3 linked regions of the Lytechinus pictus genome follow. The protein of the gene in region 3 binds, or shares a complex with, the protein of the main gene of each other region. Links are inferred from orthologs where the notes say so. Each region holds a gene or a part of one and is shown on either strand. Other genes may lie near its edges.

The links.
Region 1: telomerase reverse transcriptase-like (region 3) and H/ACA ribonucleoprotein complex subunit 1-like share a complex: the UniProt entries of both Homo sapiens proteins name them as parts of the telomerase holoenzyme complex. The link is inferred for Lytechinus pictus from reciprocal best matches to the Homo sapiens genes TERT and GAR1.
Region 2: telomerase reverse transcriptase-like (region 3) and telomerase Cajal body protein 1-like share a complex: the UniProt entries of both Homo sapiens proteins name them as parts of the telomerase holoenzyme complex. The link is inferred for Lytechinus pictus from reciprocal best matches to the Homo sapiens genes TERT and WRAP53.

The regions. Positions count from the first base shown.
Region 1 is NC_087262.1:10,785,877-10,795,624, reverse strand, and holds the start of H/ACA ribonucleoprotein complex subunit 1-like, read right to left. Parts: upstream 3,848-9,748; 5' UTR 3,512-3,847; intron 1-3,511. Other genes in the region: uncharacterized protein LOC129281146, read right to left, coding at 9,408-9,599. UniProt on the Homo sapiens protein: Required for ribosome biogenesis and telomere maintenance. Part of the H/ACA small nucleolar ribonucleoprotein (H/ACA snoRNP) complex, which catalyzes pseudouridylation of rRNA.
Region 2 is NC_087260.1:24,210,450-24,221,173, forward strand, and holds the start of telomerase Cajal body protein 1-like, read right to left. Parts: upstream 4,584-10,724; 5' UTR 4,511-4,583; intron 171-4,510; 5' UTR 34-170; coding exon 1-33. UniProt on the Homo sapiens protein: RNA chaperone that plays a key role in telomere maintenance and RNA localization to Cajal bodies. Specifically recognizes and binds the Cajal body box (CAB box) present in both small Cajal body RNAs (scaRNAs) and telomerase RNA template component (TERC).
Region 3 is NC_087260.1:22,795,629-22,806,402, forward strand, and holds the start of telomerase reverse transcriptase-like, read left to right. Parts: upstream 1-6,849; 5' UTR 6,850-7,091; intron 7,092-10,348; 5' UTR 10,349-10,395; coding exon 10,396-10,499; intron 10,500-10,774. UniProt on the Homo sapiens protein: Telomerase is a ribonucleoprotein enzyme essential for the replication of chromosome termini in most eukaryotes. Active in progenitor and cancer cells. Inactive, or very low activity, in normal somatic cells.

The sequences.
Region 1 (9,748 bases), on a different chromosome or scaffold from region 3:
GTCAAGCAAATCCAAATTCTTACAAAATTATATGTCCCATTCACATTGTAGATAATACTGTTAGGACCTAAAGGGACCATTTTGAATTTCATAATACAGCATTTATCTCATGCATGACTAAAGAAATGATATGTCTTGCTATAAAACATGTTGTCAGACAATACTTTACTCGTATATTACATGCATTTTATGTTTCTTACTCGTGTGAAAATTAGTTTCTCCATTCGCATTGTACATTATAAATATAGGGCCTATGGCGGCCATTTTGAATTTCAAAATAAAGCATTTATCACATAAATGGCTATTAACAATGATGTTTTTAGTCAGTAGTCCACTCGTTTATCTTAATAATATGCATTTTAGTGATCACTCTTGTCATTTTTTTGGCCCCGGCCATAGCCATTGTACATAATACTATTTTGGCCAGTGGCAGCTATTTTACATATCAAAATACAGCAATGTTCCCATATATGACATAATAAATGATATATCTCGTTAGTAATGATGATTTGCATATATTACTTCGTTCATACATCGATTTTTTGCGGTTTAGTGCTCATTTTTGTGAAAATTAGTTTTCCCTACTAATATTGTACATAATAGAGTACCTTTATACAATGGCATATGGCGGCCATTTTGAATATCAGGAAAATAAATATTTTGTAAAAAATTATTTTTTCAGAAAGTATTTCACTCCTGCCACACGATTTCATAGCCCATGTGCGGAAAATTTTATGATTTTCATGGGTAATTTGCATATTTTGGCGGCCATATTGGATTTTGCCAATTTGCGGAAAATGCTCAAGGTTACAAGAGTGGCATCATCCAGATTCGTAATCAGCACCCTCGAATTGACAAGAAACCATCAAAAAATATTGTATATATAAAAAAACGAGGTTTGGTCAAGTTTCTATGGGGCCTATCCTGGACTAACATCCCAAGTCTTGATAAGAATGTACAGACAAAAAAATTTGGTGCAGACTAAAAACATAAAGACACACAGAAACATTAATCATCAGTACTATAAATAGGAAAACAATTTGCACGACTTTTTGGCCGATCACCATACCAGCGAGCCAATTGAAACCATCCTGGCCAAGCCGAGTACTACATGGCTGCTTTCCATGACAAATAGCCAAGATGAAAGCGTTAATCATGCCATCAGCACATTTTCCTTGCTGATCTTAAAAAACCCTTTGATGTAGCATTTTGCAAAAGAAATGGTGAAAAGAATTTCTGTTAAAATATTAGTGTTAATGGGCGAAATATAGCGCTAGCTGGTTACGACACAGGACCTCGGAGGGGGGAATAGAGGATTCTTTCACCCTGCCATACTGCATCACGGAACAGATATCTGCAGCAACGCATTGAAAATGGGGCCAACACACACACACAATGACACATTAAAAATAATTTTAGACTAGAGTCTAGAGCTAGTCTTCTTCCTTTTTTTCTGGTTTAGCAAGATGATCAACCATGGGCTGATTACAATGGATTGCATTGATTACTGTGTATGATCGATCAGAAAATTCAGCATCACGAAGTTAACTATGAATTACACTACAGCCCGGATCAAATTCAACGCCGGCCCCGCGGCGCTAATTAAGTTTCGAACCAACTTCGAGAGAACTTCCCACCAGTAATTGTTCGCAAATGTCATATGACATCGAGATCGAAGCCGAAAGGCCCGAAATATAACCGTTCCCGACATTCGGTAAAGTGGTGGGTATATATTATCTTAAAATGTGATTGAGAGACTTGCTATATGAAATATGTTATTGTTAACAATGACTTTCCGCTATTGCGGAAAACGGACGTAATTCACGGAATCAACCTTTTGAAACGGAAAATGGCTTTTCAAACGAAAAATCACGGAAAACATATTTTTTCTCTAAATGCACAGAATAGCAACAGAAATTACTCCCAAATTCTCAACGAAATACAAATATCAACTGGAAAAACACACGATCTAAAGCCTAAAAAGGAGTAAAGCCGAGGACGAGGTAATATTAATAAACAATGCGCCTATGACAGTACGAGTATGAGTATGAATAGATTATTTCTAGATAGATGGCGCTATATAAATGCCTATCAATCATTATTATTATCTTACTTCGCTACAACAATCATGACAATCCACACATCGTGACTGCACTCGAAATTAGTTTACACTCACGACAGCATAAAGCCAGTATTAAGGCAGAAACACGGCCATGTTGCTGCCCTCTGGCTCTGCCATGTCTGCGTTCGGACTTCGGTCTTATTATCATGATCGCGGTATTCCACAAATCCAAAATGGCAATTAGGCGAAAGTCGTTGACTGCTCAAAGTCAAACCTATGTCCAAAAATTCCCCAAATCAGCAATAAAATCTCAGTTAGGGTCTAATGATTTTTCTTAATAATAATAGTTTTTGTAGATCTACTCGAATCTCTTCAATTAAAATTGATTTTAAAGCAATGTTAGTACAGTGGCAGATACAAATTTTGACCTCGCGACTCATTACTAATTTAGTCATTGCCATTGGCAATTCCGTTTAACGGAATCGTCAATTTTCCATATACACAAAAACAGAATTTCCGTTTCGTCTAACCCAGGAAGCTCCCGCCCGCTGCACGGGCGGGAGCCTAGGAGCTTACCGTGTATTTGACCATAGTCACCGAACTAGGGTGATTTATGGTCTAAATATTTCTCCAAATGAATTGTGAAAACAGAAAGTATACCTACCACGATTATATGGATGAAGGTCTAACGAGTGGCAGTTTCCTGACATCTGGGCACAGACTGGAACCTCAAAAAAAACGAAAAGTTCTCTCCTCTACCCCAGTCTCGATCGGCCATTTTGTTACGATTTTTAACAAAAATGGCCGATCGAGACGGGGGTAGGAGAGAACTTTTCCGTTTTTTTTAGGTTCCAGTTTGTGCCCAGATGTCAGGAAACTGCCACTCGTACTTAGACCTTCATCCATATAATCGTGGTAATTCAATTGTATACTTTCTGTTTTCACAATTAATTTGGAGAAATATTTAGACCATAAATCACCCTAGTCCGGTGACTATGGTCAAATACACGGTAAGCTCCTCATGCTCCTAGCTCCTGCCCTGGCATGCCTGGGCTCCCTCCCTGGGTTACGTTTTGTCCTGCTGAAACAGAATTTGAAATGTTTAAGATTTTTCTAAACCGGAAGAGGCAATTTTTAGAAACAGGAAAATCATTGTCCCTATCTATTGGTGGGGAAATTCTCTCAAAGACAAAGTCAAAGTCGGCAGGTGCGAAACTGCATTAGCACCGGACCCGCCGAACGGCGATAGCTAGCGAACTCACCGCGAGGAGCCTCCGTGTTTGGGAGTGGGAAGCTCCCCGCTCGGGCCGGTCCGAGCAGAATGGAATTACCGTATCCGCAGGCCGGAGCAATGCTCAAATGTTTTATCTTTAATAAAAAATTTGGGAAGACTGTTAACAAAATGAATATTAATTATAAATGGGGATATTTATTTCGAACCATACTAACCTTGTGCACTTACGCCAATTTACTTTGAAAGGCAGAAATAGTGGGTTTTACGACACGACAGTATCACAAAGTCAACCTAAGCTAGCACCCACGTGTCTCGGTTCCAAACAATATGTTACTTCGTCCTCACAATGCAATGCGACCACTTCTTTCCAAAACATCGACCCACAGTAAGAACAAGTCTACCATTGACTCACATTCATAAAATATGATTAGAGAGAAAGGGAGAGAAAGGGGGGGGGGGGAGAGAAGTAGTCTTGAGGACGCAATGATGATGACTTTTAAAATCATGTCATAATGATGAAGAAGTATATATATGACAGGATTTTAAAAGTCATCATCATTGCGTCCTCAAGACTATAGGGAGAAGCACCTAAAAGAAAAATAATTAGACTTTATAGAGAAGAGATTATGAGATAAGATGAAAGAGAATACAGAAATAAGTAAGAGGGAAAAGAAGATGGTATGAGAGAAGGGTGAACAGAGGAATTTATATTAGACTCGGGTGGAAGACGGATCGAGAGGCACAGGCATAGTCTGTAGTAGACAACTAGTGAGAAGCGGACTGATTACTCATTTTTTTTGGCAAGAATCATACAGAAAAAATGAACTAAAATATAATTTTTTGAAGAAAAAAAATTGACAACCCCGATTAAACCTTTTGCACAATGTCAAAGAAAAAAAATTGGTTCATAAACAGTTCAACTACGGCCCGCGAAGCTTCTCAATCCGGCCCGCGAGACTCTGCTGGGTTTTTTTTAATCACTTTTAATTAAGTCACAATATGAAACATAGCTCAATATGATTACATTGTGTATAGTTGTAGACCTAACCGTAATAAAAGTAATGGCAGTCAAATTAATTTGACATTTAAACAAAGTTTAGTGGAGCAGCTGTCTGTTCGATCTACTTTCTAATTATTAGATGACTAGAGCGCTGTTCTCACCATGTTTGGATCTACATACAGGTGCGAAAGTGCATTTTCCACAATGAACATTTTAAAGAATTAATTCATACCGAAGTACCTTGACAGGGGCCGCGGAACGGTTTTGAAAGTGGGGGGGGGGGGGGGGCTGGCCATGCAAAAAATCACAATCATATGGTAATTTTTACGTTTTTGTACACATGGTTTTGGGTGAAGCCCCCCCCCCCCCCCCGCTTCCGCGGCCCCTGCTTGACCAGTGAACATTAATTTTGCACCAGTGCCTTCGTCTGGCAATTACACCTTTTGTGTCAAGGTTCAAGCAACTTGTTGCTGACAGACTGTCACTTTTCCCATATTGAAAGTGACTATAGGAGACTGACATCCTTGTGAAAGTCTACAACAGACATGCTCTATTATTCATTCTACTTTGACTACAAAAAATATTGATACTTCAATTAAGACATTATCTAACTCCCCAATACCAGGTATGTAAAGGTATACAATCTAGATTCCTTTTAACAAAGTACTACAATTTTGTTATCAATATTGACTCTCGCTGTATTTTGAAATCTTTTCTAATTTTGCCTGCGTTCCATATGAAACTGTTATAAATTTGTTGGATTAAATGCTCCCAAAATAAGACAACGGCCAGATTGCACAAGAGAGCATCTAGGACCCCGGCCGCAATAGGGTCTTTGCGCTTCGCGCACATTTTTTTCTAAGTATCCACTTCACCCTGGCCCTTTCAGGTATACTTGGAGTCTCATCTGGCCCTTCACAAAAAAAGTTTGAGAACCCCTGATATAGACAGTGTTAGAACAAGTGGATAGGTAAAATGTGTGAAGCTCAGTGGCGGATCCAGGGGGGGGGGGGTACATCAGGCCCATGCACTCCTTCGAGAGTCATATAGTCAATATTTTTAATGTAAATATGCCGTTCTCACACAAGTGTGCCCCCCCCCCTCCTTTATAAGTTAGCATGATGGGAATATGCCATTCGTACACTAGTGAGCTAGTCCCTAAATTTCTTTTCCTCTTTTTTTGCATAAGGATTTAGAGTCATGCTTAATTACCAATTCGGAAAATGATGTAACAGCACATGCAATCATATTGATTTTTACGCAGTAGCGTGTGTCCTCTTTGCCTGATAATGCAGTGATGCCTTTGATACTGCAAAGCAATACTTAAATTTTTGTGAAACACCCTCCTGGTTGTGCATAGACAAACTATGATTAGACCATGTGGGATGAGAGTAGAAGACAAAATGTGCACAGACCAAGTAATATTTACCAGTGCCCTGTAGCACAAAGGTTAGCGTTCAATTGCTAATTTGAAAGAGCAATTCTGATTGGTTCCTAGTCAGTCTACTGAGCAAAATGCTCATACTAGGATGATCTTGATAGGCCATTTCATTTAGCCATTAATTGCTAATCGTTTTGTGTCACGGGGACAAGATCTATGGCCCATCAAACACAGAGATGGACATAACAACATGAAAAATAAACGAGACACAAAGTTTAATTTCAAAGATATAATTTATTTAGAAATAAATAATGAAAAAAAAAAAACACAAAATGTAATGATAAAAAAATATTTCAATAGTAAAAGATGATCTGTATAAAATAACAACAAGTGGAATGCCTCTGGCCGTCTCACCTGCATCACGCGATTCAATATAGCAGCAGTGCTGATTTTGAAAACTACTATAACTCGCACAAGATGTTCAGTGATACTTGGTTACTCTTATTTCCAAGTTTTATGAACTAGACCAATACACTTATAGAGATATGATGGCAATTCAACAAATACCCCCAACGTGGCCAAAGTTCTTTGACCTTACATGACCTTTGACCTTGATCATGTGACCTGAAACTCGCACAGGATGTTCAGTGATACTTGATTACTATTATGTCCAAGTTTTATGAACTAGACCAACACACTTTCAAATTTATGGCTGTAATTCAACAAATACCCCAATTTGGCCAAAGTTCATTGACCCTAAATGACCTTTGACCTTGATCATGTGACCTGAAACTTGCACAGGATGTTCAGTAATACTTGATTACTATTATGTCCAAGTTTCATGAATCAGATCCATAAACTTTCAAAGTTATGATGGTAATTCAACAGATACCCCCAATTCGGCCAAAGTTCATTGACCCTAAATGACCTTTGACCTTGGTCATGTGATGTGAAACTCATGCAGGATGTTCAGTGATACTTGATTAACCTTATGTATAAGTTTCATGAACTAGGTCCATATATTTTTTAAGTTATGATGACATTTCAAAAACTTAACCTTAGGTTAAGATTTTGATGTTGATTCCCCCAACATGGTCTAAGTTCATTGACCCTAAATGACCTTTGACCTTGGTCATGTGACATGAAACTCAGGCAGGATGTTCAGTAATACTTGATTAACCTTATGGCCAAGTTTCATGAACTAGGTCCATATACTTTCTAAGTTATGCTGTCATTTCAAAAACTTAACCTCAGGTTAAGATTTGGTGTTGACGCCGCCGCCGCCGTCGCCGTCGGAAAAGCGGCGCCTATAGTCTCACTCTGCTATGCAGGTGAGACAAAAACAGTAAGCAATCATATAGCATATACTCTGATACAATTATTATTGTATGCGTTCAAACGATATGTAAATAGTAAATACTTCTTGAATATCTATATTGCACTTCAGTCCCCAGAAAAGCTGGGGAAAGCAAAACAGTGGATTTCAAAGTTCCCAGCATGTTGCTGAAAACTTCATCAAAATCGGCTGTCAAATACCGTAAAGTTATGACATCTGAATTACCTTCACAAAACAGTGATATGCAGTGCACATGAGAGAGCTGATGTACTACACACTGCCACTATATCTCTTAATTTTTCAAGTTTATTTCAAGTGTTTATTTCAAGTTTATTTCAATTCTACAAGACATTGCACATGTCATCAATGAAGTAACAATGAATTAACAATTAACAATAATTGTTACTTGAAATAGCCAAATAATTTTCTCTCTAATAATGTAAAACTAGGTCTGATTCCCAATGGAACATACACAATCTTCATTATCATAATTTATGGTGGTTTGGAGAAAAGCTTAACCATCATCTATAATAACCCTGAATTTGCAGAATTTAGTATTACATACAAAAGAAATTCAAGAGTAATGATTTTACACCATAATTCGTTCTTGTAAAAATGTAAAGAAGTATAAATATGGTTTTCTTCCCATACATGCATAGTTCAATGGCTTCAGCCTGTCAGGTGTGGAATATAAAGCAATTGATCACCTCTTGGTTTCAGGTGAATAGACAAACTATCAATTCCTTGTTGAGCTGGATGTACACAACTGAGCTACAGGAAGATCGCATAGTAGAAAATGATAGTTTGCCCATCATCTTCTTCACCAACTATTATTATTTGCTTCTAGAGGCAAGAACTGAAAGCTAAGTGTACTTCTTTATGTATAAAGAATGCATATTGGCCGAGAGTAATTCTAAATTTATCAAATCAAGGAATAAGGTTCCTAAATATTCATAAATATATCTCGGGGGGGGGGGGGGGGGGCAAGTCAAATGTGTTGCTGTACACACGCGTGGCCAAAAGATTTCCAAACACCCCCTAAACGAGTTTTTCTGTGTGTGCAAAATAACCCCCTAAACAAGTTTTCGCAGGCTTTATTTACACATTTTGACCCCTTAACAATGTCGCCAGAATATGACCCCGGGGAAAAAACCCTACCCTAAACAGGTTTGGCTAGTCTTAAAAAAAAAAGCTTTGGAAACAAAAAACATACCCTAAATCCGTTTGACCCTGCGATTGACCATTGACCAGTCTTTCAAAGCTACCCCTTAGTTTTTGAAAATTGGTGTTTTTGATACCCTTAACAAGTGCACGTATGGCCCGTGTCCAAAACTGAAAAAAAATCCCCTTTAAACACGTTTTTTTGGTCATGCGTGTGTACAGCGATAAATTTGACTGGCCCCCGGGAAATATATTCACATGTGCATTAGATGATTGTGTATGTCTCCAGAGTTGGACCATCCATGTTGGGCTAAATCTTTCACCAAAAAAAATAATGCTATGCTATTGAGATGTAGTCTGCAGAAACAATTCTTTGGTTTTTGCATGAAATGCATAGTGCAGAGTTGGAAGTAGTGAGATAAAATTCACTCACAAACTGTAGCTGCTTCCGCTTCTTATTTGACACACACATAGGGTTTGGAGTTTAGTTTAGTCTCCAACCTACATGTAGATATGGTGTTACTTTATTAAAGAGTCAAATTTAAAGTCTGAGCTTGCAAACTAACTGCATTCTAATTGCATTCATGTGCCGGAGTGGTGTAGTGGTTGAGTCCCTTGACTCATAAACAAAGGGTCAGGGGTTCAACTATCCTACTTGGCACTAATGCTGTTGGGAAAGACATTAACCAAATTTGCCACTCTCCAAACACGGGTATGGTAGGATGCCAACGTCATGCCTTTCAGAAAGACAATTGCCAAGATTTGCCACTCTCTATCCAGGGAGGATGCCAATGAGGCGGTGAATAGATCAGCATACTGTATACACTTGTCTTTTGGCAAGAAACTTTTCCATATTTGCCCCCTAGGAAGTGGAGAATGTGCATAAATGTGTGGAACAGTTAACTTAATCTAGTGAGTGGGCACAACGATTTAATTCCTTGCTCCTCGAGGGTTCTGCGTGTCTCCTTCAACTGTCCTCTTTGACCTTTGACATTCTGAAGTCTCTTTTGCAGGAGTGGCATTGTCCTGGTGATGCCTCTGAAGCAGAGTTGTCCTGATTGAAATCCTCGAAACAACCAGTGCGATTTAATTCTTTGCTCCTTGAGAATTCCCATCAGCAGTCCTCTTTGACGCTTGACATTCTGAAGTCACTTGTGCAGGAGTGGCATTGTCCTGGTGATGTCTCTGAAGCAGAGTTGTCCTGACTGAAATCCCTGAAACAATCACTACAATTTAATTCCTTGCTCCTTGAGAGTTCCCTTCAGCAGTCCTCTTTGACCCTTCACCATTGACATTCTGAAGTCCCTTGTGCAGGAGTGGCATTGTCCTGGTGATGTCTTTGATGCACAGTTGACCCTGGTGAAGCAGTACAGTGAGGCTCCTCCAAACAGTCTCTGCAGGTTTCTCATGCTGCCGCTCAAGGAGCTACAAGGTGAAGAAATATAGGTGAAAATGAATATGTCACTTGAAAAAAATAGCTTGGAGGAAAAAGATACATCTTTTGACCAAATGCCATGCTGTTTTTGCAACCTGATCAAATAATAATCATCATTATCAGCAGCAGCAGTATCATC
Region 2 (10,724 bases), about 1.4 Mb from region 3:
CTGACCAGTATCTCCAACATCAGGAAGAGACATTGTGCTTGTAGTCGGACAGAGAGTGTGTCAAGTCCTCGTTTGACTAGCCTAGGTATTGAAGCTTACAGCAATGTGGCATCTGATATTTGTACTCCACACTAGTGATTCACGACATCCTGATACATGTTCGATAATTACTGTGAAAGACAAGATAGCATAAAATGATAAAATGATAGATAAGAATATTTTCAGAGACAATGCTTTATATTTATGATATCAAGTATCTTTAAGAATATGCAGGACACTGAGATTGGGAAAGATAGATAAGTAGTCCCCATCTCAATACCACGCATCATTCATATATTACAAACCAAAAGTATTGTGTCTTGTGCATGCCATTAATGATCTCTAGCTTAATAGCAACAATCTTCAATATTTTCTTTTTACTTTTTGTGTCGGACAGGGGTCAGGAGGCATAATAGCTCAGTCGGTAGAGCAGGGGTTTCGGATTCTGATGACCCGGGTTCAATTCCCACTTGGTGCGCTAGTGCCCTTTGGTAAGGCATTAATCCTTATTACCAGGTCCCTCGGTGAGGACCTTGAGCCATCGGTCCTCTGGTTGCTTGCTTACAAGCATTCATGCCTTCTTAGCAATCAGGTAAAAATCTCCACCAAAAAATTTCAAGATTACAGAGATGAGTAAAGAATCAATCAATGCAAATGATTAAAATATAGACTACATAGAGTCTACCAATGGTTACCCCCTAAGGCTGAGTTCCCCGAGTACGTAAACTAGACAACATTCATTGGCTTTGCATTCTAAGCCATGTGGTCCAGTCTATCTATACACATTAGAGTCTGCAAGGTTATTTCTATAGCAATTTGGACAGGGAGTGACATGTTAGCTAGGTGAAAAAAACAAATTTGGTTAGAGACATACTATTCACTTATTTCAGATTACAGAATATTTTATAGGAGTAAGGACAATAACAATAATAATATGCAACATTTATATAGCACTTTAAATACAAATGTTTCTTAGCACTGCGTACTATTACACCGGTTACCCTGATTGGGCGCATCGAGCATTCAAGGAATTTCTTCCTACCATGTACCCATTTACTACACCTGGGTCGAGAGTGGTAAATGTAGATAACACCTTGCCAAAGGACGCTAGTGCTGCGGTGGGAGTGGGTGCGGTGGGACAATATACATGTTCAAAAACAAAGCCTCATTGGCAAAGACCCTGTTTCATAACAAGGCCTCATGCTAATGCAGTTTTGCACCAGCCAACTTCAAGCAAATTTCCCAGCAGTAAGTTTTTTGTGTGAATATCATAGTGTAGGAGTCTATCATTTGCAGGCGTTTATTTTTAACACAATGCATAGATTGTTTCTATTTCCTTTGATGTTACATTTCCTTTTATCTCACCACTTCTACATTGACTCCTATATTCATCTCATGATTTACATCCATTTTAACCTCCCCAACCACTCCATCACTGACATGATGCTACAGGGCATCGAATCTTTAGGTACCCGTCCTGACTCAGTCCGTACTAGCAGGGAGAAGCTCTGGATGAGACGACTTCGCACCACCCAACCTCATGGCCTGAACATCCAAGAGGGGAACGACTGATTTTTCTTTCCTATCCACTTTCAATTTATATATACATATAATTTTTCCCCTCAGCTCTTTTGAATAGTTACATTATAGTTTCTTACTCTACTTTCCTCCCATATCTCATACAAGCTCAGCTCCAATTTTTCCTTCCTTATTCAGGCGATATAATTATTATTATATATATATATATATATATATATATATATATTTGTTTTTTCTCCACTCACCTCTTTTAGATTTACCACATTTGCTTATTTACATGTATACTATGGTTTCTTCATAATACACCCCCTCTCCTCTATATTTGCTTTTACCTTTTTAGGCAATTTGCTTCCTCTTTTTCACATATACAGATTTTTTTTCTTTCCTACTATATAGTCTTATGTTTTTTCCCGTCACACCTAGCGGATTACCATATCAGTTACACCATATGTGTATATATTTATATATTTTTTCATATACATTTCTTTTTTGGATATATTTATATACATATCACTTATAGATACATATTTACACTTACCTTCTTCTCTTAGTTTGTTTAATGCTTTATCATATATACTTATATGTCTTTTGCACATTATCAGTTGTTCCCCATTCTTTTTCTTCTTTTTTCCCCCCACTCTTATGCACCAGTTTATTAAGCCTTTCTTTGTAACCTGTTTGACCCACCTCTCACCAATTCTCTAGTTATTCATCCCTCTATCACTGTTTTGTTCCAGATCCTGTTTGATGTTGCCTGCCTCATTATCTTAATCCCTCTTGGCCTTACTTACACTAACTTCCCTTTGTGTCTGCCTACTCCTTTTCTTTCATCCCCTTCACTAACCTGATTGGTCTTCTCTACTCACTAATGCCCCTTTTGTCTCCTTGTTTCTAGTGTTGCTGTAGCTTGTTTGTGGTCTATATTATGGTTGTTCCACTTTATATGTTTGTCATTTTGCCTCCGACGAAGATTCTGCTAGGATCGAAAGCTTAGGCCCCCTTTTGACTTTATAATTTACTCCATTGGCTCTCTTTTATTAGATAAGCAGTTTTCAGCAGCTTCTTTTTGCCATTGATTTACATTCTTATCTCATGCTTCACATTCCCTCTTCAGTGCCATCATTTCATCTCCTGCTTTGCATTCCTTATACAATACTATTTGCAATGTTCTTTTCTTCATGTTGATTCCATGGCTCAGTTGATTTACTCTGAATGTTTAAGCCTTTAGAAAAAGTAATGTTTATTCATGAATAGAAGCTCATTTTCAATTTAATTTGAAAGCCTTTTATATTCATGTATTTTTTGTATACAAATTATCTAAGTTGAACACTTACTGTTCAACAAATTATTCATGCAAATAAACACTGAATTTGAGGTTGGTACACCATCTCCAGGCAGCAAGCAAGGATTAAAGTACTCATACTAGTACGAGGTTAGTAAGTATGAGTATGCTATACTAACCTCGTACACCGAACCGCGTTTGACCCCAATCGGTAACACCCCTATACTTACCCGTGTTAGGAAACTGGGACTCGATTCACGCGCATTCGGGCCGCCCTAGCTTAGAACTAAGCATTAATATCACAAAATTGTTTTACTCTACTAATTAAATGTATTCTGTGGAAGGATCAGCTCATAGAGAGTTGCATGCATCGTGCCTTGATTTTACCTAGACAGCTGGCAGCCGTCTGTTTCGAGGAGTTTTTTTAACATTTTTTTTATTTTATTTCTCCTCATACACAGACGGCTCGCTATCGTGCAGCCACCATTAGGGGACTTACAATGCAAAATCCCCCCGTCGGGGCTCTTCAATTTTTGTCTTTAATGAATCAAACTTTTGAAAATTACCGCGACCGAAATGCAAATTAATATTCCCTCTTGGCATTAATTGCCAAAAAACGGGGAAAAGCAAGTTAAAAGGAACAAAAACAGTGACTTACCTCGGCTGTCGCGCAACTTCACTGCCCTGTATTATCCGAACTTAATACACATAAACATATGGCCATTGAGTCCCCTGTACAGATCGCGCTAGAACTTCGGTCTCTGTATTTGGTGAGTGAAGCCAACGGAGTTCAGCTGAACAACCAACATAACAGAGACCGAAGCTTTTGGTCTAGATTTTACCGTGCACGGCGGCAGTAATGCACCCATGGGTGGGATTCAAGTTGTGTCTTGTATAACTCTGTAGGGATATACCACGCCCATATGCTCACCCAAGGCCACCGCTTTTCTGAATATTATCACGATCGTGAACGCTTCGCATTGCCGTGGCTATGCCATAATTTTAATATGGACTGAAGTTAATAACCAAAACTGTGCAAACATTTGGCGAGCAAACGAGTGAGTTGCCGCAGTTCAATCTTTGTTGCTAACTTCAGTCTTTATCAAAATTACAACGAAGCCAAGAAAAGCGATGTCTGACTGAGATTGAGAAGTTTGATGACGTACTTACTAATCATGCTAATACTAATACAGTAATACTAATAGTAATATGCCGTAGTAATATAATATAGTCTAGACTCTAGAGATCGGAGCCAAAGCGAAGTACAGCCATTCCTGATCACGATATTTGAAAAACGGTGGAAATGTGTATTGTTTATTGGCCTCGAAATGTGACCAAGAGACTTGCCATGACATTTGCGAACAATTTCTGGTGGGGAAATTTGATCAAAGTCGGCCGGTGCGAAACTGCATTAGCACCCCAGCCCCAGGCCTCACTCGCCACGAACTTACACCAACGAAGACGAATGGGACTGAGGTGAGAAAGAGATCTGCAGGAAAATTGTCACATGGCTCGAAAAACAATATATGAGTAGCTTTAAATCCATTTGATTCACCACACAAATTCACTTAACGCAATCTCCTCGCATGAAACACTAAATTTTAGTACGTTTGCTATGTAAATATCATAAATTTATATCATTAAACTTACCAAGTCAGACAAGGTGTTCAATTACGGTGTCGTCAAAACGTCCAACGCTCTTGGAGGAATATTTGTTTGTAAGTTAGCAATAGCAAAAAGAAAAACGAAATCAGATTGTCACACGGGCAATAACTGCACAAAGCGGGGCATGGGAGTGTAAAATAAGACGTCATCCCCCCAAAAAAAAACAATAATAATAATCAAACAAACAAACAAAACAAAACAAAACAAAAAAACGCGAAAACGAAAAAAATATAATGAAAAATTGATAAATTTACATATAAATTTTACAGAAAAAAGGGTTTCGATCATGAAGGATGAGGAAAATGCCATGCTCTCCATTGTGTAATACACTTATTATCTCACTTCATAAAGAATAGATGTATGACTGAGTTTGCTTGAATGTGAAATCCTAAAAGGCAGATCAAAGATTTTTTTTTAAGTATGATAATAAATACACTAACTGATGTTCTGATAAGTGCATTCAATTTTTTGGGGGATGGTAAAAGAAATCATATATAAAATGAATGGTCTGGAAAGGAAATGAAATTATTGTCCAATCGGACATTAATGCTCAGCTGATTGCAGCAAACTTTAATCTCTTTGTCGCATCCTAATCATCAGCTTTCCACTGTATATGAGTAATGGACAGTGACATTGTAATATGCAAGGGGGGAATGAACAAGCCTGAAGGGTCCTTAATTGGATTTACCTTTGAGGATCTGACTGTTTTAACCCGGTTTAAACTCCAAGAAGTTCCTCATGCTGCTCACATACCCCTTCATCTCTCACTCCTCAAACGAGACAATTGTTTTTTTTCAAAAAAAAAATGCTTAGCAGATTGCGAGTGTCATGTGGGACAGAGGACGACGCCCCAAGAGCCTTGGAATGAGTCTAAGAAGGGGTGCTAGCATTTAAAAGAAATATTTGACAAGTAAAAAAAAACGACTGTCACTCCAAAATGTAAATGATTTTGATCAAGGAAAATTTGACAAGCAATTAAAAGAACAAACAAAAGGAAGAGGGGTTCATTCCAGAATGAAGCTTAATATTATACCAACCACATTATTTTCCAGGGGTGCTGCGAAATCTTGCGGGCCGGTGTTGAGCACCCCCGCTTCCCAGTGCCATGCACACCCCTCCCCCCATTTTTTTTTCAAATAGTAAAAATAGGAGGAAATGGGGGGGGGGGAGAAAAGAGAATAAAGAATGAAGAAGGGAGAGAAAGGTAATTTTGGGCAGTATAAGTTTGTTTTTTTCGTATCGTCCAAACCCCAGAGGTTGACATTTTACTTTTTTTTGCTAAAATTTTTCAAATCTGGAATACAAGAGAAGAGATAAATCAGCACACCGTTGTATAATCGCTTATTCAATCATCATCATCAGCATCATCACCACCACCACCATAATCATCATCACCGTCATCATCATCATTATCATTGTCATCATCACCACCACCATCACCACATCATCATCACCACCACCCCACCACCACCACCACCATCACCATCATCATCACCATCATCAACATCATCACCACCACCACCACCACCATCATCATCACCATCACCACCACCACCACCACCACCACCACCACCACCATCACCATCATCATCATCATCACCATCATCATCATCATCACCACCATCACCACATCATCATCATCATCACCCCACCACCACCACCATCACCACATCATCACTACCCCATCACCACCACCATCACCATCATCATCATCATCATCATCACCATCATCATCATCATCATCACCACCACCATCATCATCATCACCACCCCACCACCACCACCACCACCATCATCATCATCATCATCATCATCATCATCACCATCATCATCATCATCACCACCATCATCATCATCATCATCATCATCATCACCACCATCACCATCATCATCACCACCACCATCATCATCACCACCACCACCACCACCATCATCTTCATCATCATCACCACCACCACCATAATCATCATCTCCGTCATCATCATTGCCATGAAGATGTATCATACGCAGCGCCATCTCATTTGATTTGCGTCACTAATTCTAGCCGAAAAGCCCAACTGTGTTCCCATGCATCTAACTCTGAGTCAGTCTATTTTAAATAGCTTGTCTCGCCTAAGATTATTTGAGAAGCTATTCAAGCCATGTTTTAGTGTCAAATATTACTTGTTTTCTTCTTATTATATTTTTTATTCATTTATTTATTTTTTGTCTATTCATTTATTTTTTGATGTTGATTGGTTTTTATTGGCGCTCTCACTAAAAAGGGAATATATGAACCAATACAATTTATTTTATCATATCACTTTAATTTTTCATCATTATTTTCAGTAGATAAGGCCTTATATTTCAGGAGATTTGAGAAACATAAGGTCATTAATTTGATAGAAGAAATTTCGCAAGCGCGCACTGTAAAAGATAGCGCCTCTTCGCTTTAAGCCACATCATTGATGAGTCACTTTTATTTATTTATTTTTTTTTTTTGGGGGGGGGTGTCTGAAGGTTATGTACGCCATCGTTTTGTTGTCACGAATTCGATCATCTCTTCAAAGATATACAATATTCAATGGGGAACCATGGATCGTAATATGGGGGCACGGGGAAAAATGAGTTACTTATTTGGCGCGCAAAGCGCACTGCAAGGATTTGTTGAACTAGGCTAGGGCCAGATTCAAGAACAACAAAAAATAATAATATATAAATGCAAAGGTTCGGTTAAATTTATACAGGGATAAGGTTGGAATGTAGGAGTCTGTGTGTGACAGTTCAGCAATTTAAGTTTCAAAAAATGATAAATTTATGTGAGACGGATGTGCATTACAAGCCATGGTGTTTCCACTGGCCTATATACAGATAGGGGATGGACCCCAACAAATTTTCACGATCAAGAAAAAAAGGGGGCGAAAGAGAATGAAAGAAAATGTGTAAAATATGAAATTACTTTCTAATTATCGTGTCAAAGTCTATCACAAAATAAGATTTTTGTATTAAAAGGGTCAAAATCTTTGCTAGCTCGCTTCGCTCACAGCTCTAAAAACTTTACACCAAACCACGCCTAGCCTCCTTCAATTTTTTTTACTCATTACGATACTGGGTGTTTCTAGATATTTCATTTATCTTTTCAGGCAATATGTTCTTGGTTTGGGTAGATTTATTTTGGCTCTGATATACGATATGGATAGATATGGGCTATCAACTCAAATTCACTTCCCGATTATATATGATTTTGTAGATCATAGACGATTGAAACGGGAGTAGGTTTTGATGGGTGATTTTTGGTTTTCACCTACATGGGATTCGATTTTGAAAATATATATTCTCTGACTTTTCAAAAGTATATCGAGTGGAAACCAATATCCTGTATAATGAAGTCACAATAATTAATGACCTCGATCTGATTAAAGTGATAACCTGTTATCATGTTAAGTGCCGTGCTTCAATTTTCGTTAAAATAAACGGGTTCACCCAAATCCCTATACCCTCTCCCTTGCTTTCTCCATATCTGGTAATATAATTTTCCAAATTGAATGACTCAATACATTTTATTCCACATTCAACTGGGACAAGTACTGCTCCTTTAAGCACTGGCGTATACAGGGGGTGGGGCTGCGGGGAGGGAGCATAGGACCCTAGTCAAAATCTATCACAAAAAATAAAAAGTTCAAAACTTTTGCTCGCTCGCAGCTTTCTATGAAATTCCTCGGTGCGCCATGTCTGCCCCCTACCTATTTTTTTTTTACTTATTTATTTTTTGTTCGTTTGCATTATTTTTAGAGAGATGTATATCGTATTCAAGCTTACAATAAAAGTGATTGAATGTTTTATATCAATGTACACAGCAGCTCGACCTGGCGCTTCGCACTCGCATTTAGTTTGCTTTAAGAGAATTACTTTTGTGTATTCTTATTGATGGTCCTTAAAATATGCCATTTTCAGGTGAGTATTTCAAAGATTTCAGATCGAACTGTTTATCTGGTTATCAAATGCCCTCTTCATAGTAACGAAATTTAGATTGCGCTTTTTCGGCTTGCGTTATTCATGCTTAAAGCGAAACCTAATATTGTTCCTAAAATTAAAGTCCAATGTATTTAAAAGAAATTATTTAGAAAAACTTTGGCTATTCAACAGTATTCAAACAGCTGATCGGGCATTATATGTGGACCCCCCATTGAACAACGCTGGATATGGAAGGGGAACATCCACAATGAATATTGATACGCCAAAATTACAAATAGCTAACCAAGAAAATAAACAAACAAAGTAAATATTAGTAACCGAAAATTATCTTGTTTGTAAAGAGGATGGAATATCCTGGAAAATCTGCGTTATGATAGAAGAAAGAATCCGGAAAAGGTTACACAGGTGAATGGAAAATAATGTTAAACAAACCATCTCCATTAAAAATACTAGTAATTGAAGAACAGGGGATAAGCCCAAGAAATAATAAATCATTATGCCCCCTTCAAGGGAGGGATGGGGGTGCATGGGGGTAATCGAAAATGAGGATAGAATGGTAAAAAAATGAAAGAAAGAGAACCGGGTAAGAGGGCAGTGGCGTAAAGAACCAAGGGGCACAACATGGCGAGCGAGCGAATTGAGCGAACGAAAACAAAAATCGTGGAGAGTGGGGGGGGGGGGGGGCATTGTGAGAACTGCAGAAGGGGCTATCGAAGTTATTGTGGGGGTGGGTACTCTGCTTCCCCATACTACTCAGGTAAACCAATGTTCCACTTGAATTAGGCCTTATTGGTCAAGCCAAACTGAGAGTTTACCAAGATACCGAAAAACAAATGACCAGGTTGTCAACATATTTGTTCAAAATAATTGCCCAACTTTTGTCAATTTTGTTAGTAGTGAGTGTTACTCATTCAAAGTATAATATTATTTAAATAAATAGCTTGGTTAGGCCTTTATTCTTTATTCATTTCTTCCAGAGCTTACAGTTCATTTGACAAAAGAACGGGAATTGAACTAAGCAGACAATAAGAGGCCCACTTTTTTTCTTCTTCAAAGTTTTTCAATTTGAGAGCATCGGTGTATGTTTTACAATTATCTCCAAGTTTGTTTTGAATTCGAGGGGGCGTTGTCCACAAAAAATAAGACAACTTCCAAGCTTTTTTTTTCCATCAAATAGTGAACGAATTTGTATAAACCCCATTCAAAGTCAGACACGATTCAATCTTCTAATATTCTTTTGAGGGTCAAAGTTGACGAGTCCAGCTTATACACAGTTCGCAGACATTCCTGGCATACTTAGGGTCTGACCTCACAATAAAGAACCCGGCGTCTGATTGGCTGATATCGTTGTGTAAATAACCAGTAGGCGTATAAGGTGTCCAATGACAAGTGGGCTTATTGTATTGTTTGGAAATAATGTTTGTTCTTGGGCTTTTCCTCCTCGGAGGACCTTTGTGTCGTTCTGTAGAACCCCGTGATGATAGCGTTTTCCAAGTTATTCCGTGGCCAACAATTACATTGTGTGCATAAATGACCCATAGTGGACACAAACAAAGAAAGAACAATAACATCCTCAAAATGTTAATTATCTTTTCGATAATTCAATTACTCATCGCTCATCAGCAGCAGTGCATGGGATTACAAAGCGTTTCGTATAATAACTTCTTGATAATCGTGGCGATTGTGCTCACTCAGTGTTGGGCCCATATAAATGGCGTATAATAAGCCCCAAAATTTAAGGGGGCGAGATATGGTGTAATGGGCAAAATTTAAAATAAAAAAAAAATGCGTGCGAACAAAATAAATATTTCGAAATTTTCTTACAAAAATCAAATTTTGTGATAAAGTTAAAGATAATATTCGTATATTATTTCACCCTTCTCTCTGTCCTTTTTTTTTTTTGGGGGGGGGGGGGGGTGGGTGGTGGGGAAGCGCCCCATTTGTACGCCACTGGCCCATATTATTATGCGTTTTCCTTATTGTGATACGCACAGAGAAGCATGGTCATCATACACCCCCCACCCCCCCCCCCCGATTTTGTTTTTCCTGGGTGGGGAAGCCATATATAATTATGTTTGATATATATAGGGGGCATACTAAATGTCCCCTATATTCCCATTGATTTCAAGAGGAAAACGCGCACATGAAAGTCAACCCGTATGCTAATGGACATTAACTCATCATCTTCAGGGGTGGGGGCAGCCGGCAGGTATAGGGGCGGGGGCAAGACGGCCTAAATTTTATT
Region 3 (10,774 bases):
GTAGTAGAATTAGTAGTAGCTATATAGTAGCAGTAGTTGTAGGGCGACGGTGTCACAATGGCGGGAAGTTTATTTCCTTGAAAGAACTCGATTCTTTCCTTACATGCTTTACTAATGTCCCTTTTTTAAATGGATTCCCGCTTCTCAAAATAGAATAAAGCAGTCATAATAATCTGGTGACGCACGTATCCAAAGTTATTAGAATGATGGTTTAGTAATTATGTCGACAATATTTGATTCTTTATATCGTGGCCAGAAGGAATATGTATTTTGATTGAATTTTTTTTAATGGGAGATCTTGAAAGTCGTGTGGTCGGCTAATCAACAGATGAGCACATAGGTTGACAACAAGAAGGAAAAAAAAAGAAAACGAAGAAAAGAGAATAGAAAGGAAAATAGATTCAAAGAGCGAGGTATGACCACAACGGAAAACAGGATGAAAATGGATAAGGAAATGCCCTATAAGACCTGCCCTATATTTAAATTCCGCCATATGTAAAAGAACATTTCCCAAGAGTGCAACAGATCCCCTCTGTTGCCAAAACCAAGTGCGTATCATATTTTTGGGTTCATAAATGATGCAGATAGCCGCGAGTGGTCTTGTAATGATCCACCCCATTATCTCCATCGTTAATTCGAGAAGAGGCGTCCACCTCCAGCACCTTGACTTCTCGACTGATTATCATCATGGCGGGGGTGTACAATAACATGCAAATTGAAGCGATGGTCACTGTACACACATCTTACAACAATATCTTGTTCGAATCGATTCGATTACACGTGGGGCTGTCACCACGGTTACAGATGATATCATGAAACACAACTTTAGTTCACTGCAAGCAATAACCTATTAAAAGGAAAAGAGGGGTAAAATAACTATAATAATGGTAATAATATTAATGATAATACTTCTAATAAGTATAATTATGATAATTTCTTCTAAAGTGTACCACGATGAGGCAAATAAACTTTTCCAAACTGGACCTCTTTCTATAACTACTTCTCCTGGCATTCACGTGGTATCGGTTGATAATCCCCTTGGCTCTTCTGATCGATTTGTGATATGTATGTAGCTAACTACAAGCAAAACTGGCTGTACGAGAAAGCTGACTGGGATAGTCTGCGCTCGTTCCTGTTTCAAGCTGACTGGTCCTCCCTTTGAAAGTCACATAATGCTGATAGTGCTGATATCGCCTAGAACAGTTAGAAAGAAAACATTGGAGATGCAATGGACGTTTTAATTCACTACCATCCAGGACTATCGAACACACGTACTCGGATAAGCCATATGGTTCAATGGCAGATGTCATGACACTGTTATCCAAACAGAAGGCTTACAAACTGGCAAAAGAGCCATACAAGTCATCTTTGGCTCCTATTATTATGGAATCTAAATCTAGATGTCAGCGTACCATAATTATGCAGAGCACGTATAGTTCTCACAAAACCTAGAGCAGGAACTCAATTAAGCATGCCAGCAATAAGCAGTGGTGGAAACTGGTCAAATATGTAACTGCAAGCAACAAGTCATCTGCTGTCCCTCCACCGAAAGATGACAATGGCCGTGCAGATGTTACAAAGTTGAGCTCCTTATGCAGCACCTTCACTGCAAATGCGCATCTTGATGATAAGGGCCAAGTTTCTCCTATAAGCTGAAGTTGAAAACTGGTGAATCTGTCTCTACCATCAGCTTCTGGCCTAAGGTTATCCTCAAGAAACTACGAAATCTTGACATATCCAAGGCAACTGGTCCAGATGGCATCAGCCACCGTACTTAAGAACTGTGCACTTGAGCTTGCACCAGTTCTTTCAAAGCTATACCAGTTGTCCTTGAGCAGAAAAACCACACATTCAGAGTGGAAAACTGCCCATGTTGTAGATGAGCCCAAGAAATGGAACAGCTGTATATATGCATCGAACTACAGGCTAGAGCAGCTGTACTCGCACTTCTTGATAGGCAGCGGAAAGCGATCCGCCTCTAGAGAATTGAAGACAAACCAAGGTTTGCCTTTATCCACTTGAGCACCGGATAAATGTTGCATCTCTCTGAACATGTACCTTCTACCGTCACTTCTTCCTGAAACCATCCGATGAGTTGTCTGCATGGAACCCCCCCCCCCTTGGCCCCCAATGTCAGTTTGACACGCTCTACTGCAGCTGCCCATCCCTAAAGAGTCACTGTCCCAAAGTAAAACACTGTCTTGTCAAGGACAGCTCAGCTCTGGAACTCACTTCCTGTCAACACATTCATGGGCCACTTATTATTATTTTATGATCACAACATATCAGACCCAAAGAACTATAACAAAAAAATAATAATAAATAATAATAATGAAATAATTGAAAAAAAAACAATAATAATAGTAACTATAATAGTAATAATCATCATCATCATCAGTTAATATCTTATCTGTTTTGTCTTCCATGATTTGGAATAATAATAATAATAATATTCCGCATTTATATAGCGTTTAACACATCGGAACGACGTCTCTAAGCGCTTTACAGATATATTATTACCCCGGTCATCGGATCCTTGCATGCCCGCATACAATGTATGCACCTTCTCCACTCCCTGGGGAGCATTCCAACAAGAGTTCTAAGACTCAATTGCTAGGCATACTACATCGGCTTTCGCATCCTACCGGGTACCCATTTAACACCTGGGTGGAGAGTGGCAAATTGTGGATTGACGCCTTGCCAAAGGACGCTAGGCCATGGCGGGATTCGAACTCACGACCCTCTGATTACAAGGCGAGAGTCAGAACCGCTACACCACGGCGCTTCCACGGAATAGATCCCGTCATCTGATCATTTCATCTAAACATGACGACATCCCATATCTCATCACACTGATCATCTCTTCGAAGGGATACCACCATGAGATGCGATCCAAGAATTAACTCGTCATGTCATCTTTCGCTAAAACGATGTCGGCTTCCAAAGATGATTATTTCATATCTTGCTGGCACGTTTAGGTTATAAGATTTAATAGAACACTGTCTTTACAATCTAGAGAACTGCACGTTGCGATGTGTTGGACGTCACACAATAAAAAACTGTTTTTCATTCTGACGTATTTATACAAGCTCTTTAAGTCACTGAGGAGCGAAATCTGAAAATTGAGTTAATTGCCTTCTTCCCCATTAGGAATAGGTCTTAACCTGGAATGGAGCTTTTGGTTTTCTGCTGCGTACAAGGAAACGTCGTCTGTCGGGAATTTAGATACAATGGTAATGGATCATCTCGAGCAGTAGATAAAAGGTCTCTCGTTTTAGGCTTTCCCATGATGGAAATATTCACTTTTTAAAAAAAAAGGCACATAATTGGATGTAATCTTGTTTCCAAAGCATTGCACGACCTTCTATACAAAGGCAGTATTTCGGTTTGATTTACTAATCAATATTGTCATGGTTAATATCATATCAATTGTTTAAAATATTAAACTAACCAAATCAAATAAAATCAGATAAAAGTAAATTATCAACATTATTTTTTATGTACAGTAGTACACTAATATAGTCTCAACCTTTTGCTCTTTTAAATAACAATAGTGGAACGCCTCTGGCAGTCTCGCCTACGTTACGCGATTCAATATAGCAGCAGTGCTGACTTTGAAAAAACAACTATTGAATAATTATTCACAAAAAATAACATCCATATGATAATGAAATACTATGTTAATTGACCCTAAATTTATGTGACCTGAAACTCATACAGGATGTTCAAAGATACATGATTACCCTTATGTCCAATTAATTTTCATGAACTAAATCTATAAACTTTCAAAGTTAAGATGAAATTCAGCAAATACCCCAACAGGTTAAAGTTCTTTGACCCTAAATGACCTTTGACCTTGATCATGTGACGTGAAACTTGCAGAGGGGATGTTTGATAATACTTTATCAACTTTACATCCGTTACATACGTTATGCGATTCAATATAGCAGCAGTGCTGACTTTGAAAAACAACCATTGAATAATTATTCACAAAAAATAACATCCATATGATAATGAAATACTATGTTCATTGACCCTAAATTTATGTGACCTTAAATTCATGCAGGATGTTCAATGATACATAATTACCCTTGTCTAATTAATTTTCATGAACTAAATCTATAAACATTCAAAGTTATGATGAAATTTAGCACATACCCCAACATGGTTAAAGTTATTTGACCCTAAATGACCTTTGAGTTTGATCATGTGACCTGAAACATGCACAGGTCACAGGATGTTTGACAATACTCGATTACTCTTATGACCAGATTTCACGAACCAGATCCTTAAACTTCTACAGTTATGATGACATTAAAAAAATAAACATTCGTTAAGATTTCGGTGTTGATTCCCACATGGCCTAGGTTCATTGACCCTAAATGACCTTTGACCTTGATCATGTGACCTGAAATTCAGGCAGGATGTTTCGGAATACTTGATTAGTCCTACCGTTAAGTCCAATTGCTTCTTGAACTGGGTCCATATACTTCGTAAGACATGATGACATTTAAAAAAATAAGTAAGTTGGTTAAGATGTCAATGTTGGCCAGTGGCGTAATGAGCCAAATATTTTCAGGGGGCTCGAAATGGCGTATCGCGTAAAATTGATAATAAATTGCGAGCGATCTAAGCGAGTGAGAAAAAAAAATCGACATTTTTATTACAAAAATCCAAGTTTTGTGATAAATTGTTCACCATTATCCCTTACCTTTTCTCTTTTTCTTCTTGGTCGTGATTTTTTCTGCCCCCCTCTCCCACTGTTTGCACGCCCATCGACGCAGCCGCCGCCGTCGAAAAAGCGGCGCCTATAGTCTCGCTCTACTATGCAGGCGAGACAAAAGCTATATATAGATCGCCCATTCTTTATTTTTCATGAAAAAGCATTATTTTTTTTTTCATTGTTTTGTAACGTCTTTTAATCTACCTGTGTGATAACTGCGTGCGTTTCATTGCATTGCAATGACCTGCTTTCTTTTTAAAGAATATAGAAAATGATGACACAAGCAAACGGTTAAGCTGGCTCGTATTATTCAGATTTATTATTCGGATTTAAAAACTTTAGAAAAGTCTATCAACAAATGAATCCAGCGTGTTGATTGAAAATCATTATAAGTTGAAGATATACTTGATTATAAGAAACCACATAAGATCTCATTTGCCGCATGATGATATCTAGAAAAAAATATGGCAAAATGTTTGATGCATCCTGGAAAAAGAGTACAGAGAAAAACTCAATACTATTGTATTGAGGGAGAGTGGAAATACTCTCATTTATTTATTTCAATAATACATGTATATACATGTAAAAACATACAAATATCATACATTATTTTAAACATAAATATACAAATATAATCATGAAACATTAAGATGAGATTTGAAAAAAAAATAATGAAAGAAAATGGTATCCCAAAAAGCCTCAAAGCACTGGCGTAAATCCGTGTTGATGGGTGGGGGGGATGACTGAAATATTTTGGAATTTTTTGCAATCATGTTTTTAGATATGCAAGGAATTGTCATTGATATGTCCACAGTGGCGTACCGTGGGTCACGGCATTGGGGGAGGGGGGGGGGCACCAGCAACATTTTTGAATCACTGAGTGAGTGCGCTAAGCGCGCGCAGTTGCCAGTTATACTGACCTAATAGAGAAATTTTAAAGACAATGTCATTAAACGGATATGTATCTCACTAATCAAATAATGCGAGCGCGAAGCGCGAGCTGAAATTTTGTTATATTCACACCTAAAAAGGGACATTATAATCAAATTTGTGTAATCATGATAGGAACCTGTCTCGCTAAACAATGCGAGCGCGAAGCGCGAGCTGAAAACTTAGATAATTCAGACCTGAAGTGGGGCAATCTAAGGTTTCTTTGTAGGAATTAACTAGGACCATACGTATTTCATTAACCAAATGATGCGAGCGCGAAGCGCGAGCTGAAAATTTTTGATATTCAGATCAGAAGAAGGGACATTTTATGGACTGATTTTAGGAATTCATGAAGAGCAGACATATCTCACCAATCCACTAATGCGAACGTAATCACGGACAGGAAATGTTTCATATATACGAAGACCTTAACATGAGGCAATCACTTTTTGAGTCATGAAAAAGAAGCATATGTAACTACGTAAAACAACGATAACTCAAGTGCTAGGAAATATATTTGGTTTATATTGACTTGAAAACGAGATGTTTTAGTACAACAGGATTATATATCTCGTTAAACAGACAATGCGAGCACCAGGAACAATGAAGACGTAGGCCCTGGGCAAATTATGTTTCATAAAGTTATGATAAAAATGTTTCTTATGTATATATAATGTAACATAACATAATTATAATGTAATATAACATTATAATGAATAATATCTTCTTCTTTCCCACTTTGCTTCTCTTCCTTTCTCCCTATTGTCTCCTTTTCCCACTTTCCCCGTTTTTTATTTGGTCAGCCGATGGGGGGGGGGGGCCGGGGGGGGGGGTGTGCCCCCCATGCCCCCCGCGTAGTTACGCCACTGTATGTCCATATGGCAAATACCCTCCAATATTATTATCTTTTTTACCCCATGATGGTTAATGGTTTTATTAGAGATTACATTCAAAATGTTTTGACATTCCATCTTAATCCCTAATTCCCAAAGACCCCAACATTGATGAATTGGAAGAAACGGGGGTTTCTCTTCAATGTTATGATAAGGACATAAGTATTTCGTTTGGAAATGGTGAACTGGCTCTTTATTGTCATTTTATGATTCAATAATATTGTTTTATTTGTTAAGCGGTATTTTAGGAAGAATTTTCACCAATAAAACAATTATCTCTTGTGATTTTTTTTCATTTCTTTCGTAAAAACTGGGGGGGATGTTTGTACAGGCCATCCCCCCCTCCTCGAAAAGTGGGGGGGATATATCCCCCCCATCCCCCCCGGGATTTACGCCAGTGCCTCAAAGGCTTGCAAAAAGGGAAACCAAGAATGATCCCGCGGGTAAATCAAATACCCCAAATATGCGGCCGTATTATATTTGTGAAGCGATTTCAGCGAACCAACTGATGCAGTTCAACCTCAATCATCAAGGTGCAATTTCAGGTGAGGTGAAATACCCAAAAATATTTAGGATCTAGCGCCAGGGCTAGTAATATTATGCTAGGTGATGCCACCATCTCCGCCGCGAATCCGCCGTAATTGGAAACAGAAATGGAACATTTTAAAATATAATAAAGTGTAAACTCTAAACGAGTAAATGGCCACAAATATAGGTTAGGATACCTCATTATCATCAACGCATGCGAATATTACACGTACGGTACATATACAATTCATCACGATTCCGTGATACAGTAATTCGAAATGCACAAGACTAAAGAGGTATGGCAATTAGTTCCCCCAACAAGTCTGCGCAATTCTTGTAAAAGAAGAAATGCAACGAACACAAACGCTTGCAACACATAAGACAGATATTTATAAAGACAAAATGGTGGAAAAAGAATGAATTTTGGGCATTTTATATGAATCATAATATTGATGGCCTCATAAGTCATAATGCAGCCTTTACTTTTTAGTTTCTCTTCAAAATACCTGAATCGTGTGCAAAGTGAATGGGTGCGCAGACATGGGGGGGATGGGTGTCCGGACACTATTTTTTAAGCCTTTTTTTTTTTTTACTTTGGATTACACTAAAATATTATGAATTCAATAATACTAGTTGTCTTCTCTAATCTTGTTCTCTATAATTGCTACCATTTTGTATACCCAGTGGTTGTGTGTCCGGACGGGTTGGGTGTCCGGACACATGACTTTTACTCTCAATTTTGAAAAGTTTACAAGCAATGTCTTTAATTCTTTTTAGCACAGAATATAAGAAAATATTATAAAGAACAAATATTGATGGTGAAAAAAAACTATTCAACCTATATTTTTGGTTTATTCCTGAGATAAAAACAAGGCTTCATTTCTGTTACGTGTCCGGACACCCAACCCCCCATCCTACTAAAAATTGATGAAACTTTGCTTGTAAATTTTTCCAAATTATGACTTTCTAAAATTGATCGTCCTGACATAGCCTTGAGGACTCCCGGGGAGTGTTTCATCAACATTTTGGTCTGACAAGTTGTCAGATCTGACATCTTTCATTGATTCTGATTGGCTGAGAGGCACTATTACTATGGTAACTGTTGGAAATAAAATGGGACTTGATAAAACGTCTGACAAGTGAAACGCTTCCCAGGTCTGATATTTTTTTATGTATTTTGACATGTACTTCTACATGGAGCCTTGACACTCTTTCCATAGACGCTGCAGCGAGACCTACACGTCCAGATGGATTTCCCTAGGAAATCCATAGTTAGAGGGTGAAATTGGTTTGTAGGGGTGAATTTTATTTATCTATGAACCTTCATGCGCCTAAAGTGTATAAAGGGATAAAAATTATTTCACTATAAATGGTAAAAATGAGACGTTTCTTACCAGGCCGATCTCCTGTAGATCCCTCGATCCGTTTGTCAACAAAGCAAAGTCAATAGACCTGACCCTTGAACTGCTTCCTTATGACGTACATGTACATCCGAATAGCGATGCCGTTTTGAAGAACAATTTATAGAAAAAAAATATTTCACAAATTTCAAAATTTATTACCTGATTATAAATAATTATGTATTAGATTTTACTATTTGTGAAACAATAATTTTTATCTATAAATTGTCCTCAAGGCTAGTCCTGACACACAACAACTGGGTAGACCTCTATACCATTTTTTTTTTCAATCTGAAAATGACTGCCCGAGGTTTTTCCAAGACAATCCTATAGACCCCATTTCTTTCAATTTTTTATGAGATATTTGGTACACTTACGTACTCATAATATAAGGAACATTATTAACTTAAAAGATTTATTGAAATAAAAAGAAATTCATATTAAAAACTCAAGTCGTTAGGTGCGTAGACTTGGGGACCCAGGAAGACCCATAGCACATTGGTAGTATGAGGACTGTTTTTGCTAGTTATCATTCATGCCATGGTTGTAGTTCGGCCTAGTTATGACTTCTGTTAATGTTTTATCATCATAATTAGATCTAACAGATCTACATCTAGGCCTAGAACCCCCTAAGTCTTACTTAACTCTCCTTAATTTTTGTCGCTCACCCAGCCATGATTTGTATATGTTTTTACGTCTAACGTTAGATCTATATCTTTAATATTATTTTTCTGATCAAGCCAGGCATGGTCTTTTCTTGTTAAGCCTCTGTCTTTGTTTTACTTCTAGCCAAAGTCAGTTTAGATCACCTCGTTTCCCGTTTATCCCATCAAATATGTCTGGGTCAAATGTCAATCCATGTCAAATCAACTAGTGTTTGTCACCCGACCCCTCCGATTTTCTTTATACTCACACCAAATGTTCCCCCAAGTGTCTGACGGAAAATTCCGAAATATTTTGCCCCATGGTCAAATGGTTGCTAAGATACAGCCTTCCTTTCGCAACTGACAAAGGAATTAGTAGAACACCTAAATAGAGAAGAATGAAGATGACAAAAGAGAATGAGAGGAAAGGAATTCAGAGTGGAAAGAATGGATGGCAACTGAATATAATTATGAACTTACATAACCTAAGTTCAGACTGCAAGGGCAGTACTGACAGAAATGTAAATGAACTTAAGTCTGGACAGAACAGAAATGTAAAACTGCGTGGTGGCAAAGATAGCATGATAGGAGAAATAAACAAATAAGAAAATGCCAAAATAACTATCCTACACTAGTAATACATACAGTATCAGATGCTTAGTGATTGGTCTGAATTTGTGAGTATATGTAATGAGGATACATAGTGTATATTCACCACTATGATACACTCATTGCTATTTTTATTGTCCAGAGTGTGTTGGAGATGAAAAAAGAGTGTCATATGCTCTTCTTGCAGTTCCACCCTAACCTTAAGTTCAATAGCGAGAGTTGACCTACCCATGGGCTTCCCACAAGAAGGGACTTGGGGGTAATTTTTACAATTAATTTTTTATTCAAATATTGAAAGATGGGGCCTACATCCTAGGCAATCCAGCGATGCAAAAATTATTTCGAATTACAAGTAAAACTCAAAATATCAGCAAATTAAAAAGGGTATAATGAAAAAAATAATTGTGAAAATCATCCCTAAGTCCCTTTTTTACAGGAAGCCGACAAAATTTAATTTTAGAAAGTCAAAAGGGGCCTAAGCTTTCGATCCTAGCAGAATCTTCGTCGGAGGCAAAATTTAATTTTGTTAAGATTACACCTGTGAAGTTGAACTCCGAAATTAGCCATCTAACTCCAGTAGTCACTCAACATTAACACATTAATTGCTTTGCTTCTATTTAGACTGGGTGATTCATTAATTGAATGATTCTGACTCCACCCGACCAACCATGGATATCCTGGAAAGAATCTATCCCAAGGTTTCTCGTCTGGAAGACTTTCTTCAAGTTCTGGATGGATGTCCACCCCTCTACATCCCCAAAGACAAAGCTGGGTAAGGAATTTAAACTTGTTCAATGTTTCACAAATACAATAATAATAATAATTCATAATCACATTTTAAATTTTAGTATTTGTTAAATAATAATTTTTATCTATAAATTGTTCTTCAAAATGGCATTTTGTAACATCGCTAATCGAAGGTACGTCATAACGAAGCGGTTCAAGGGTCAGGCCTATTGTATTTGCTTTGTTGACAAACGGATTGAGGGATCTACACGAGATCGGTCTGGTAAGAAACCTCTCATTTTTGCCATTCATAGTGGAATA